3 linked regions of the Arabidopsis thaliana genome follow. The protein of the gene in region 1 interacts with the protein of each later gene in a pairwise test. Each region holds a gene or a part of one and is shown in the gene's direction. Other genes may lie near its edges.

Region 1 (4,777 bases):
CGATGATGGAGGCTTGATAAAACCGGAGGAGATTATGTTTAAAATTAGTTAATTAATTGATGTTGTATCTTATGCATTCTTGAGTTTTTTTTTTCTTTTTACCTATGTTTAAAATTATGTTTGCATTTCTGTTCTTGATTTAGAATCATTGTAAAATCTCTCTAAATACCATGTCAAATGTCGGTAAAACATTATACTATGTAATAATAAAGCCATGAAACATCAGCTTATAATATAGACGTTCACGATAAAAGAAAGTTCGAGAGAAAAAATCTAACGGAAACATGAAAATAAAGAACAACAAGAAAAGTTAGTGGCTTTTGCCTTTTGGTTATGTGGTTGTCTTAAACTGTGTTTGTTGCGTCTCGATTTTTATTGTCGGATCAGAGATTAGATTAAGACATTCTCATTGACCATTTTTCCACGCGTAGGTACAGTAACTTAACCTGATTAAAACCATTCTAGTTTGACTAATATAATGTTTTAAAGATCCTTCGCAGAATTTAAATACAAAAAAGGGCTAAAAGTTGCACCTTTTTCTTATTAATATTATAGTCGAAATCTTAAGGCCAACTATTCCCTTAAAATCCAACAAGGAAGAAAACCTTACTGAATCCAATGGGCTTAATACTTTCAGACAGTTTAAAGATTTATGGCTTTCCTCGAAATTATGATCCATTAAATGCGTGTCTCCTCATTGATGATCATCAGCAAATCGTGTGTCATATTATATTAACCCTAATCATAATATATTAATACTATAACACCAGCAACATTATGCTGAGTCATACATATATATGCTAATAAGTACTAGTAGTTGTTAATTTTTATTGGTAAGATACCATAACACTAGTTTTATATTAGACTTTACACGAACAAGTTTCAAAATTTTAGCAACGCATTAGATCTTGAGCATCTTGGTTTCGTCTAAAGAAACATTATTTAGTTGAATGTCTTACATAGTAAGACAAATATTTTTGGGTAATATATAAAAAATGTGATAATTTTTAACTTTTAAATTAGTATTTAGGTTAAATTAGATCATACATTCTTAATATGATAACAAAGTGTATTACCGCCTTAATAGACAGTTTTTTTATAAAGAATGGTTTTGCACCTACTCTATACAAATAACATGTCTTATTATATTTTCGAAATGTTAAACTTACTCATATTGCTTAGGACAAAATTTTTAAGTAATAAATAAAACGTGTGGTAATTCTTAAATTTGGATTACTATGTCAGTTTAGATATTTTAATTAATTTTTCCAATAGTCAAATTGAGAAGGAAAAAACAACCACATAAAATAATAAATTAGGTAATGGCTTTGGATCATAGAGAGCACTTAACTTGTTGATCTACGCAATGTGTAAAGCTTGATACCACTAAACTATTATTCGTGACAAAAATTAAAAAGAAAGAAAAGACTGCTGACCTGGCATGACAGATAGTTAAACCTTGGGAGGCAAGTTCATCCTGGTGATTTTAACGGTCCAGATTCATCTAGATGCAACGCCATTGTGTGATTAAAGATCGTCACTTGCAGGTGTGTACACGGACAAACCTTTAGAGATTCTGGTCGAGAAAGTTCTGTACTTCCTAAAGTACCCCTAAACATTTAATCCTATTACAGAAATATCCCCGTTATTTCCAAAGAAAGTCCTCGGAAGTTGGTAAAAGTTTAAAAAGGAGTGGTTCAGAATCCGACGTCGTTCGAGGGTACGCGCGTCAAAGCTCGAATGACACGTGTCATAATTAGGGCTTAGTCTTAGCCGTGTGTAATCCACAAACTAAACAGAGATCATAATCTACATAAGCAACCGACTCGCCACAGATGATGGCCACGTGTCAACTGAATTTTACCGGTTACCCAGTCACCCATAATCGAGTCTTTTTCTTCTTATATATAATCAGAGAGAAAAAGCCCACGCGGCTCAGAAATTTCGTCCACGAGAGGAATAAATTCACACGCGAACTTCGATAGTTGTTAATTTTCGTTGAACACAAGTGACGAATTTGAGAGAGAAAAAAAAAGAAAATCAGAGATAAAGAATTTGAGTTTCTTGGAATTAAAGGATCGATTTTGTTGAAGTGAAATTGAAATTGATTGTGAAAAGAGAAAGAGACTGATGGTAGCAGAAGCAGAGGTTGTGTTTCAACAGAGTTTACCGGCGGTTCTGGAGATTGAGTTGTTTGACGGAGTTTCCTCCGCCGTTAAATCTCCCGTTTCTTCTCCGAAATTGGGTTTTACTCAGTCAACGGCGTCGGTTTCCGGAAGTTTAACGACTTCTCCTGTGGTAAGTCTTGTTTAAAGTTTACATTTTTATTTTCTGGGTGAGAATTTAAGAAGCTGGGTTCTGAAACGTAATTAGAAATTCGACTGAATTATTGGTTTTAGTCTATTAGGAATCATCAAATAAGATGACTTTATTGTAAATATTTTGCAAACATATCCTTGGATCTCTTAGGCTTAGAGGACCTCTAGTTCATGTGTGTTTGCGTGTCGTAGCAAATATAGATGCTTGTTGTCTATAACTTTGCCTTAATGAAGCAACTTTAAAGCTGTTGGAGAAGCCCTTTGTAGTTATTGTGTGTTGTTAACTGTCTTGTCTTCACTGCTTGTGTTTTATTTGTTGCTATACTCAATTGAGCATCCGTGTATACCTTTTATTTAGCAGGCTGATATCTTTCCAGAGGGTGATTGCGATCCTAGTGTCTTGGATTATATTCCGACCATCCGGTCTGGAAGCTTTGCTGATATTGGGCCAAAGAGAAACATGGAAGATGAACACATTCGCATAGACGATTTATCTTCTCAAGTTGGTTCCCTTTTTGAGTTGCCGAAGCCTAGTGCTTTCTATGCGGTATGTATCGTTGCTTCCTTATAATCTGATGCTCTTTTAAGTATACATTCTGACTTGACTTTCCTCTGCTTAGGTTTTTGACGGGCATGGAGGACCAGAAGCAGCAGCATACGTACGGGAAAATGCCATTAGGTTTTTCTTTGAAGATGAGCAGTTTCCACAGACATCGGAAGTGAGTAGTGTTTATGTGGAAGAAGTTGAGACTTCATTGAGAAATGCGTTTCTTCAAGCTGATCTAGCTTTGGCAGAGGATTGCAGTATCAGCGATTCTTGTGGTACCACCGCTCTGACTGCTCTTATTTGTGGAAGGTACGTGTTTCATTCAGTTTTGTTTAGTTCTCAATCTATCTTTAGAATCTTAAGAGATCTCTTGCGCATATACGAAGATGTGCACAAAGGTAAATAAATCTATTGTTAGGATCTTAAGAGAGCTCTTACATATACTAGATTGTAAGTATATAACCTGTGACATGAGCAATATTGGCTATGGTTTTATACTTTTGGTTACTCTTTCTGTTGTTGTCTTTGGGGTTTAACTGTGATTTTCTCATGGGATACTTATGTTCTTGTCTTTTGCAGACTCTTAATGGTTGCAAATGCCGGAGACTGCAGAGCGGTTCTATGCAGGAAAGGCAGAGCGATAGACATGTCTGAAGACCATAAACCGATTAATCTACTTGAGAGAAGAAGAGTGGAGGAATCCGGCGGTTTCATCACTAATGACGGTTACCTAAATGAAGTCCTAGCTGTAACCCGAGCTCTGGGCGACTGGGATTTAAAACTGCCACACGGCTCTCAATCTCCACTGATCTCGGAACCAGAAATCAAGCAGATAACTCTAACTGAAGACGATGAGTTTCTTGTGATTGGGTGCGATGGGATTTGGGATGTCTTGACGAGCCAAGAAGCGGTTAGCATTGTTAGGCGTGGCTTAAACCGGCACAACGATCCAACAAGATGTGCGCGAGAGCTAGTGATGGAGGCTCTGGGGCGGAACTCATTTGATAATTTAACTGCGGTGGTGGTATGTTTCATGACAATGGACAGAGGGGACAAGCCGGTGGTGCCATTGGAGAAGAGAAGGTGTTTTAGTCTTTCGCCTGAAGCTTTCTGTAGCTTGAGGAATCTGTTGGATGGCTGAAACTAGTGTGTTTTCTGGTGAAAACCGATGATTATATAATTGATGATGACGAATAATCTCTCCCACGGCTGCTTTTGTATTTAGAGATTTTACGCAGCTGAGAGAACTCTTTTGAGATATACTTGTGTATTAAGTGTGTTTGTTGTGTGCACAGTATGCGATTACAGTTTTGTGTACATACATACTGTTAGTTGTCTATGAATAACGAAAAAGAAAAGATTAAGTGATCGCCACTTTGTCAAGATAAAATTGCATCTTTATTTTTTTGATCAAGATAAAACTCCATTCAACACGACCATTTAAAACTAGGAATGTATCATCATTTCGAGACTAACTTTCGTTCTTCGCTTAATAAGATTTACAAATTCATGCAGCAGAAACTATTTTTGAACAACTTCAGTTTAAAGATAAATCAAACTTATTCAAAAATCATTAGCAACACGTTTAGAAACCAAAAAGACAAGGCTACTACTACGCATGAGAGCAGCCTTAAGAATCAAAGCGTAGAAACTAATCACTCATCACAAAACTAAAATCCTAGATCGAATATTATTCGAGAATTAATCACTTGACTAAAAAGAATACAAGACAAATCATAAATTCCGCTACGTTGCCATTGCAAATCATCTATAAATCTGCAAACAAATGATTTGAAATGCTCTCACAACTACGTTATAGGATGATTCAAGAAGTAGCAACCAATGAATATCAAAGTATAGAACGAACAACATAATGAATATCCATAAAATCCTAAAACCTTCCATAATTTAT
Region 2 (6,603 bases), on another chromosome or scaffold:
AAAATCCAAAAAAGAACAAAACTTTTCACAACTAATTTCACAATGAGCAGGTATAAACTCGTTTAGATATCAATGAACAATTAACAAAACCAATAAGCATGAGAATTCTGTAAGAAGTCCACATAAAAACTCAATCAGATAATCGGATAAACTAAAATTCAACACAATTAACTCCAATTGCGACCTAAACGCATCAAGATGAGCTTAACAACGATATAACAAAAGCGTAGAGGAGATATAATTCGATGATCCAACGAACAACCACTTGAGCGATTCGAGAAACTTCCAAAAATACTTCAATCAAAAACAAAATAACATCTAAACAATAGAAGGAAGACGGAAAAAACCCAGGGAAGTGTAATTGAATCACCTCGAGCTTACGAACGGCGACGGCATTGGAAGAGCCGGTGATGGTCATGAAGGTGTCAATAGCTTCCTGAGTAGGTGTCGCCATTAGAAAAGAGAAAGCTTGAGAGAAGTTTTTCGTCGGAGATTTGTGTTTGGAGCTGGAGTGAAGGAGGAGGCAAGAATTAATATATGTTGTAAATCACAAAAATTGCAGTGAAGAAAGGAATTGGATCGGTGACTCTTAAGATTTTTAAAGCCTTTTTTAGGGTCTTTCTTCTTTTCCATTTTTTTTAATTCTCCTTTTTTATTTGGTGTGGATTTTCTTAAACTTTATTTTCTTTATTCTTTTTGTATATTTTCGGTGATATTCAAGATATTATTTTCAGAGAACTTGAGATAATATATGGAGTGTCCTAATCTGAATAACTAAATAAATAATTATTCAGTTGAAATTGGATTTTTTTTTTCAGAGTCTTTATATTTTATAAACTGGAATTCGAGTCAAATTCAGAGTGGATTAAACTTATCTTTTTAGTTTTTACTAGCCAAGAACTTTTTGACCTTTTTTTTTAACATGATATTAATTGTTATAGTGTATATACATTAAAAGTTAGATAATTTTTAATGTACAAAAAAAAAGTTACATAATTTATTTTTTTTCACACCAATTACATATTTTATTTGTCAATTTGACAGTAAATATGGAAATAAGCCTTAAAATGTAAAGGCTTTTCGGTCCAACAACGAAAAACCAAAACCAAACCCAAAACTAAAATATCCAAAGATATCCTCACTTTATGATCATCCCAATCTTCCCTCTATATAGTGCCTTTAAAGGAGCTGTCATGTTCTCTTTCGGCCGTTTGTAATATAAGAATTGTCGTTTTTGTCCAAAAAAAAGGGTTGGCTTTCAGTTTGTGTCCCAGAAACAAAGTAAATCTTTAGATAAATTGAAACAAAACTAGCTTTGTGACTCCAATTAAACTTTGCTTCCTCTAAGAAACCTTATGGAGAGTATTATTCTACAATGATTTGAAGTATACTACTAATAATTGATTACATTTAAATTCAACTATAATTTATTGTTATTGTTCTTCAATCAACTTGAACTTTGAGTTTATTGGGCACATTACTTTTAGAGGAATGTGAATGTGAACATTGAAGAGACGTGTATTTTATTTTCTTCTTGACAAATACCGTTGGAGGTATAAAAACACCATCAAACTCAGGCCCATTTGGCAATGGCGGCAACAAGAATGGGTATTATATTGAGGTTAATTTCGTCAATCACCACTTTTAAATCGTGACAAATTCGTCTATTATCTCTCAATCTTCTTCAACCTTCAATTACATCGGCAATTCTACAAGTGGCAGCATCCTATTAGTAACAAACACACGTGGCGTAAGCTAATGCGTCGTAGTGTTTATAATAGCTGGGGTTTGTTAATTATGGCGTCACGAGTGATTTAAGAAGCAGCTGAAAAATAATAAACAATGAGGGAATGCCAACGTTTTAAATTATATTTTTAATTTGTGAATTTTCATCAGAGTCGGATCTTGATGCGACTGCTCAAACAGAGTCACCGGCGATTACGATGGCCGGAAACAACTCGGAATCGAGTCTCTACCAGGTTTTGGTGGAGTGGTGTCAGAGGATGGAGACGAGTCAAGCGAGACTAAGGGAGGATGTTGATGACTTATTGCTTCAGGAGGAGAGTCGAACCGGTAAGGAATCGGCGACGGGATTGGAGACGGACACGGAGAAAGAGGCTGAGGTAGAGGTGGAAGCGGAGGCGGCGGATTCCTGGGATAATCCGACGGCGACTTGGGAGAGAGCTGTTTCAGGATTCTATTTCGCTGATAGTGCGTATCGGACTTTGATGGATTCAATGGGACACGCGATTCATGTAACATCAGCTGCGTCTGGAGAAATTACATTCTGGTGAGCTTGATAAGTTCTTCTTCTTCATCTATGGTGTTTGTAGATCAGGAGCTTATAGTTCTTCTAAGTACTGTTTCATTGAATTGTGTGTTTAAGTAGTTAAACAAAGTTATATATAGCGATTCATTGTATATGCAAGTGGACATTTACTATTTGTTTCTGAGTGGAGAGATTCTTTTATTATTATTCAGGAGTCGTTCTGCTGAGAATCTGTACCATTGGTATGCTGAGGAAGTTGTTGGCTACAGAACTATTGATGTGCTTGTAACCGAAGAATACCGTAATTCCCTTACTGGTATCAGGAATAGGGTGTGCCGTGGAGAGACTTGGACTGGTCAGTTTCCGTTTCAGAAGAAAACTGGTGAACTATTTATGGCTTTGGTGACTAAAAGCCCTGTGTATGAAAACGGTGAGCTGGTTGGTGTTGTTACTGTCTCGAGCGATGCAACCCTTTTCAATAGGATGCATCCACTAAGTAATGAGCATCAACAACAAGCTCGTAGTAATAATAGACATGAATCAAACTTGAGAAAACATCAGTGGCACCTCCCGAGGCCTCAGATCGCTGCAGCATCACAGGTTCCAGTTGTCCCACAATATTCATCAGCTGTTGCTTCAAACCTGGTAGATCTCACATCATGAATGTTCGAAGTTTCTCAGTACTTTTTTTTATATAATAATTCGTGTGCAACATGAATGATTGTTTGTTTTGCTGTTTTCTGCACAAACCAAGAAGGCGTCGAAGCTTCTACCACAGAGAAATGGAGATGATTCCTTCAATGGAAATCATAATTCGAGGAGCCGAGATGAAAATGTTCCGGTTGTTGCCTCCACAACTTTCGAGAAGTATGGCTCACTGGTAAGTCTTCGTTGGCTCCTTAAACAAGACACTTCTCATTGACATTTCTTAGAACGATTATTGTCTCATGTTATAAGCTAAATCTGCATATACACTAGTGTAGGCGGATAAGTTTTTGGGGAAGCTGCAAAGGAAGATTACTGGCAGCCAAGGAACCGAAGATAATGAGCCTATCTTAAGAAACGGTATCAATAAGTCAGCATGTGGCAGTGGAGGTAGTTCTAAGGCTTCTAATGCAGTTACCTGCACGGCTTTCAGAGACAATGGCAATGGAAAACCAAAAAGGGCTGAAGTTAGAATTTCAGATGTCTATGGAAATGGAGCTGAGGGTTTGATACATAATGGAGATCGCTTTCAGTATATTGGGAACCTGGGACAAAGTAAACCTCCCAGAGGACTAGAGAGTGGTTTGGTGTCTGGCATGCGGGGAACAAAAATGTCGGACCTAAATGGTGAGATAGAAGATGCTTGGAATACTCGTCTTAGTGTTGATCCCTTGCCAATTCTAGGAGTCAACAGCGGTAGGCAACAAAGTCCTGTCAACCAAAGGAATAATAGATTAGTTACTGATTCGTCATGTGAGATACGATGGGAAGATCTACAACTTGGGGAGGAGGTCGGAAGAGGTGTATTTCATTTACCAAAGTCTTACACTCGTTTTCACGTTTTAGATATGCAAATTCAATTCAGATCTGTGTCATTGCTGTTTAAATCAGATTACAAGTATTTCTGATGCGTTACATTTTCTCACAGGTTCATTTGCTGCGGTTCATCGTGGAGTTTGGAATGGATCGGTGAGTTTTCTGTAATTTAAGATAAAATAAGGATGATTCTAGTATTAGTTGCACATGGATAACTAACTAGTCCAATCTATTTGGACCAGGATGTTGCTATTAAGGTTTACTTCGATGGTGATTACAATGCGATGACTTTGACGGAGTGCAAAAAGGAGGTATGTATAATTAGTTCTCTCTGTTATGAATTGTTTCTAGAAGTTACTCGTACCAGACAAAATAAATCAGTTTTGATCAATAATATCTTCAGATCAACATTATGAAGAAACTGAGACATCCGAATGTGCTACTATTTATGGGAGCAGTATGTACAGAAGAAAAATCTGCCATAATCATGGAATATATGCCAAGGTGAGATTATTGACGTATGGATCTGGAAGTAGTGTTACTCCTTATCGAGTGTGTTATATTATGCTGCAAGAAATTGCAGATGAATACTCTGTGCTAAGTTATTTCTATACGGTTTTGATGATTAGAGGGAGTCTCTTCAAAATACTTCATAATACGAATCAGCCATTGGACAAGAAACGCCGTTTAAGAATGGCCCTTGATGTTGTAAGACTCTGATCTTCCAAAAACCTCCCTCACAATGAAAGAAAAAAATATGAAAGGCTGATTATATTCGGGTTCTCTGTTGTTGTTGCAGGCTAGGGGAATGAATTACTTACACCGCAGAAATCCGCCAATTGTACATAGAGACTTGAAATCTTCCAATCTACTCGTGGACAAGAACTGGAATGTCAAGGTACAAACAGTTTTCTCAAGTTACATTTATGAAGACTTGTAAAATGAGTTTACTATTGCATGGACTTTCAACTCTTTCTTCCCTAGGTTGGAGACTTTGGGTTATCAAAGTGGAAGAACGCAACCTTCTTGAGTACTAAATCCGGGAAAGGAACTGTAATGTTTAACAAAAGCCATTTCTGATTCTTTTAATCCACAAAACAGTCTTGGATTTCTGTTACTAAACATTGTTCAACTTTTTTCTATGTGCAGCCGCAGTGGATGGCTCCTGAAGTTCTCAGAAGTGAACCTTCGAATGAGAAGTACGTTGGATATAATATTAACCCTTTTTTGTTCTCTTTTCGAAGACATTATTCAATAACTTGAACATTTTTTTGGACTAAAAGCTCAATGCTTTCGTTGTAATAGGTGTGATGTGTTCAGCTTTGGAGTCATCTTATGGGAGCTAATGACTACGTTAGTACCATGGGACCGTTTGAACTCTATTCAGGTACCTCTCAAATTCTGTTCTTATGAGATTATAGCTTGATCATAAGATTGTAGTAATCTTAGCAACTTTAAATTAGGTTGTTGGAGTTGTTGGTTTCATGGATCGACGATTAGACTTACCTGAAGGATTAAATCCCCGGATCGCATCCATAATACAGGATTGTTGGCAAACGTAAGAAGACGCATCTGTAAATTGTTTCATCAAATACACCCTACAAACTTAGGGGCGATTTTTCTTATATTCTTTGTTCTAAATTGTTGAAACAGTGATCCAGCAAAACGACCGTCGTTCGAGGAATTAATTAGTCAGATGATGAGCCTGTTCCGCAAACCAGGGTCAGGTGCGCAAGAAGAAGACGATTGAGAAGGTAAACAGTACATGGTTAAAGGATAGTTCACAAAGCAAAGGACGTGAAAAGAAAACGAAAGCATCGTCCTGATCACTTACTATACAAATGTTTCATTGTGTTATACCAAACTACTATTTATGTTTTCATTGAAAGAAAGAAAGCAAAAATAGCTAAATCAAAGTAATATACAGTAGAATCTTAGGTTAGTTTAGTTAAACTATGCATTATATAAACTGTTGTCGGTTTATGAGCTAAGTTGTAAAATGGGATCTAAAAAGGCAGAGGCGCAGAGGCCAGAGGAGGACTCAGATGTAATTTAAGAAGTAAAAGGGTGAAAAAGAGAAATACGAGAAAAACTGTGAGATTGATGGTGTCTTGTAGTGAATTGTAATGTAGTTGGTTTTGGTTTGATGGGGTAAGAGAAGGAGGAGTGACAATTCGTAGGCATTGCTTCTTTTGCTTTAATATTCTCTTATTACAGCTTCCCATCACTGCGTCGTCTGTAGCTTCTCAGCACCTAATTATAAGAGAGAGTCAGAACCCTAAATAAAACTTTTTTTTCAATCCTTATTCGTAATTCCACATTACAGCATCTTGAAATTGACGCAGTCACAAAAGCATAATTAAAAAAAAAAGGATACAAAGATGGGTCTATTATACCGAGTATGTATTGTGCATGCATGTGACGTGGGTGAAGGGAACTTCTCTTATAGAAGTATTGAAAAAGGAGAAATTTTGGGGGATTGAAAATATTTGTCTGTTTGTCTGGTTAGGTCAGAACAAATCACATCGAGCTGCATAGTAATATTTCGTTTACAACACATGGTTGTGACCTCTAGACAAATAAACTTTTTAACAGTTTTCGCTGTTTTGCCTTGCATGTATTTCGTAGTATTTCAATTTATATGTAACTATATTTCAATTGAAACATCTTTACCATATTATTTTCTTTTTTGATGCCAATTTCTTTACCATGTGTTTGCTCTTGTGTTATTTATGTGTGATTGATTGATTGACCGTGTCGATTACCCAAGCGGAATCTTGTAAAGGGATACTCCGTCACCGTAATACAGTGAC
Region 3 (3,682 bases), on another chromosome or scaffold:
AACTTTGGACTGTTGTGTTTCCTTCGGAATCAGAGAAAATCATTTCAACACTAACACGAAAACCTAATGAGGTATAAGTCTTGATAATGTTTTTTTTATCACATAAATGTTTAAATTTTTTAATCATGGCTTACGATTTTTTATTTCCAGGTTGTTCATACACAAGCCAAAGTCAACACAGACCAAGACCTATTGTATAAATATGTATCAAGAAACTTACTGTTTGTGGCCACCGTTTCACCAAAAGGTGCTGGTGAGATTGGCTCAGTTACGCCAGAGGAGTCATCACTCGTAGTATACCTCATTGACACCATCACAGGACGGATACTGCACCGTTTGTCACATCAAGGCTGTCAAGGGCCGGTTCATGCGGTAAGTCCTCATGCAATTTCATCTCATTTCTTTTTGTCACAGATTCAATGCAACTTTCTTAGGCTTCAAATTGTTTTCAGGTGTTTAGTGAAAATTGGGTTGTTTACCACTATTTCAATCTTCGAGCTCACAAGTACGAGGTTACGGTCGTTGAGATCTATGATCAGTCGAGGGCGGTATGACTTCATAGTTCATACTCAAAAATATTTTTTCAGTTGATTTGATGTTCCCACTGTGAATCATTATAAATTTTATTTGCAGGAGAACAAAAATGTGTGGAAACTCATTCTGGGAAAGCACAATCTAACAGCACCCATCACTTCGTACTCTAGGCCAGAGGTGTTTACAAAGTCACAGTCATACTTCTTTGCTCAGTCTGTGAAAACCATTGCGGTGACATCCACAGCAAAGGGTATAACTTCAAAGCAGCTTCTCATTGGTACCATCGGGGATCAGGTTTGTACATATCTTCTCATATAGAGATACCTATATAGATTGAATAACTGATACTCAAAACTGTTTTTATGAATGATTAGATATTGGCACTTGATAAACGATTTGTGGATCCACGCCGGACACTTAACCCGTCTCAAGCTGAAAAAGAAGAAGGAATCATCCCTCTCACTGATACATTACCCATCATTCCTCAGGTTCATTCAAACCCATTTTCCTTATATTTGTTACAACTGAGCAATCCCTGGTTTTGGTTACAGTTAGATTAAGTGATGTATAGTTTCTAACGCACTTGTCAAATTCCACAGGCGTATGTTACACACTCCCACAAAGTAGAAGGTCTAAGAGGCATAGTAACAGCTCCGTCCAAGCTAGAGTCAACAACACACGTCTTTGCCTATGGAGTGGATCTCTTCTACACAAGGCTTGCTCCTTCAAAGACCTACGACTCACTAACCGACGATTTCAGCTACGCTCTTCTCCTGATCACGATTGTAGCACTTGTTGCAGCCATCTACATCACATGGGTCCTTTCAGAGAAGAAAGAACTAAGCGAAAAATGGAGGTGATTGGAACCGTAAGGTTTAAAATCCTTCCTCTCTTTGGGCTTTTTCACATTGTAGAATGTTTATGAACCATTTTTCGCACTCTTAGAAGAAAAAACCATTGTCTTAGCTAAATTCTTGATGTTAGGCTTTGGAAATCGAGTACACTTTACAGACTCTTGCTTTGTGACCTTTGTCACATTCTAGAGTTGAGCTGCACCTTCTGAATTTAAAGTTTATAGAAGCCTCTGTTTAACCTTTTCATTTTTGTAAACAGCAATAAATTCCATGTTTTAAGACCCAAATCAGCCTGCATTTTATCGTCTTCAGATAATGATTGATCCAAAAAAACAAAGATGTCGCCATTATACTTAAACCCTCGTCCAAATCGTAAATTCGTATGTTTGGGGACCATCCCACACACAAACATGTGATTATAATAAATATTATTTAATGGTTTAATGCGAGCAATAATCTTAGGGAGAACACAAGTGTAACGCCTGACAAATTTGGTTCGAATCAATTATTTTCTTCCTATTTAAAACAGAGACGCTTCCCTTCACTTCACTCCACTTCACTTGAAAGTCCCACACAGTCTCCCTAGTGAGCGATGATGAAAGCAAACCAGAAACCGAAACCCCACGCGCCACCGCGTCCTCTCTTCTCCTGTGGCTTCTTCCGCCGCTGCACACAATCCGTCCTCAGCCCAACCTCTCCTCACCAGCAGCAACCTCGCCGTAAAGCCACCACCACTTCCTCCTCATCTTCCTCCTCCTCAACCTCAACTTCCCAAAGCTTCACTCAATGGCGCTTTCCTCATCATCTTGATCAAACTCCATCCACCGCTCCTCCTCCTCCTCATCCACCTCCTCCACCACCGCCTCTTCCGGTCACCACCACTCTCCAAGAAACCTTCCAGATCGCAGAGCTTCACCTCACATCCGTCTCTGAATCCGACAAGCTCCTCGCTCTACAGCTACTCGAGCGGGTAGTCGTACCTGACCCGCCATCTGATCCGACTTGTCCACCGGGTCTCATGCGAGGTCTCGTCTCTTGCCTTCGTAGCAACAACAAGATCGTAACGGCAAAATACGTCACCAAGATCCTACTCGCTCTCTGCCTCGCCGAAGGAAACCGCCACGTGGCGGTCGAGGCTGGAGCCGCACGAGCGGTGGTGGAAACAGCGGCAGGACTAGAGATCTCAGCGGTGGAGCGAGCCTTAGCTGCTCTTGAGCTAATGTGTACAACGGCAGAAGGAGCGGCGGAGGTTCGCGCTCACGCGATGACGGTGCCGGCGATGGTAGCGGTGATGGCGAGATTGGCTGGTAGAGGGAGAGAATACGCCATAAGCATCCTTTCCGTGGTCTACGGGAAAGGCGGCGAAGGAGGGGATTCCGGCGAGGAAATCGCGGTGGCGCCGGCGGAAGAAGTGGCTCGGGCGGTGGCGTTGGCGCTGGAAGGAGAGTGTACGGCGAGAGGAAAAAGAAAAGGGGCCCAACTATTGAAGACACTAGAGGAATATGGACGGTTGGATCTGAGTCAGAATGGGACCTGAGAAATGAAATCTAACGGTTGCAATTATGTCAGATGAAAAATAATAAATCTGAAAGCTAGTTTTATTTTGGGGTCACGGGCTTGTTGTTCTTTTGTTAAAGATGTGTGGGCCTTCGTCTCTGTCTCCCCTATCTTTGTATATATTACATTATAATCCCTTTTAATTATTAATGTCAAAAATTATTAGGTTTTTACAGTGGAACAAATTTCCACATTTTTTACCCTGGAAAGACGTATTTGACTGTTAGCAACGAACTGAGCTATAAATTTTAACGATACAAGATGGTATACCGTATACCTAAGCAGGAAACCATTTTTTATTGGATGATTTTACGATGAGAACTCATGAGGTAACCATATATGCAGTACTCCTAGTGTCCTATGTACCTAGTCTCTCAAGCATGAAACATCGCCGGGTAGAGATTTAAGCTAAGTAACCAGATTATATGGTATAATGAAGTTTCATACGATTGGTTTTGAGTTGAATTTTATAGGTTTTTGATTAATTGAAAACTGATTGTCAAGGACTAGATTAATTTCGATTTTTGTGTAGAATTCTAATGTCTCCTCGAAGAAAGACTCTTATCATTTAATCTCGATATCTCACTCAAACCTATATTAAACTTATTTAGATAAAATAATTAAGCTTCATGAATTTCCAATTCAGAATCATTTCAAAATTATTTGCAATAAGTTGACTTCGACATGCATATTATGTTTAGTTCCTTCAAACTCCCAAAATGATTCCGATCATATGT

Evidence for each region.
Region 2: the proteins of AT3G62260 (region 1) and AT4G23050 interact in a two-hybrid assay, tested with the Arabidopsis thaliana proteins (one large-scale study listed by BioGRID).
Region 3: the proteins of AT3G62260 (region 1) and AT5G11550 interact in a two-hybrid assay, tested with the Arabidopsis thaliana proteins (one large-scale study listed by BioGRID).

What each region holds. Positions count from the first base shown.
Region 1 is NC_003074.8:23,037,745-23,042,521, reverse strand, and holds AT3G62260 (Protein phosphatase 2C family protein), read left to right. Parts: upstream 1-1,951; 5' UTR 1,952-2,130; coding exon 2,131-2,298; exon of another isoform or gene 2,299-2,676; coding exon 2,677-2,865; intron 2,866-2,938; coding exon 2,939-3,174; intron 3,175-3,444; coding exon 3,445-4,006; 3' UTR 4,007-4,232; downstream 4,233-4,777.
Region 2 is NC_003075.7:12,078,169-12,084,771, forward strand, and holds AT4G23050 (PAS domain-containing protein tyrosine kinase family protein), read left to right. Parts: upstream 1-1,891; 5' UTR 1,892-1,943; coding exon 1,944-2,290; intron 2,291-2,481; coding exon 2,482-2,914; intron 2,915-3,023; coding exon 3,024-3,149; intron 3,150-3,252; coding exon 3,253-3,775; intron 3,776-3,902; coding exon 3,903-3,943; intron 3,944-4,032; coding exon 4,033-4,101; intron 4,102-4,193; coding exon 4,194-4,294; intron 4,295-4,419; coding exon 4,420-4,498; intron 4,499-4,589; coding exon 4,590-4,688; intron 4,689-4,774; coding exon 4,775-4,843; intron 4,844-4,939; coding exon 4,940-4,989; intron 4,990-5,095; coding exon 5,096-5,177; intron 5,178-5,253; coding exon 5,254-5,348; intron 5,349-5,443; coding exon 5,444-5,540; 3' UTR 5,541-6,088; downstream 6,089-6,603. Other genes in the region: AT4G23040 (Ubiquitin-like superfamily protein), read right to left, coding at 371-454.
Region 3 is NC_003076.8:3,707,446-3,711,127, reverse strand, and holds AT5G11550 (ARM repeat superfamily protein), read left to right. Parts: upstream 1-1,724; 5' UTR 1,725-1,980; coding exon 1,981-2,925; 3' UTR 2,926-3,167; downstream 3,168-3,682. Other genes in the region: AT5G11560 (catalytics), read left to right, coding at 1-71, 151-372, 453-548, 634-828, 909-1,022, 1,134-1,394.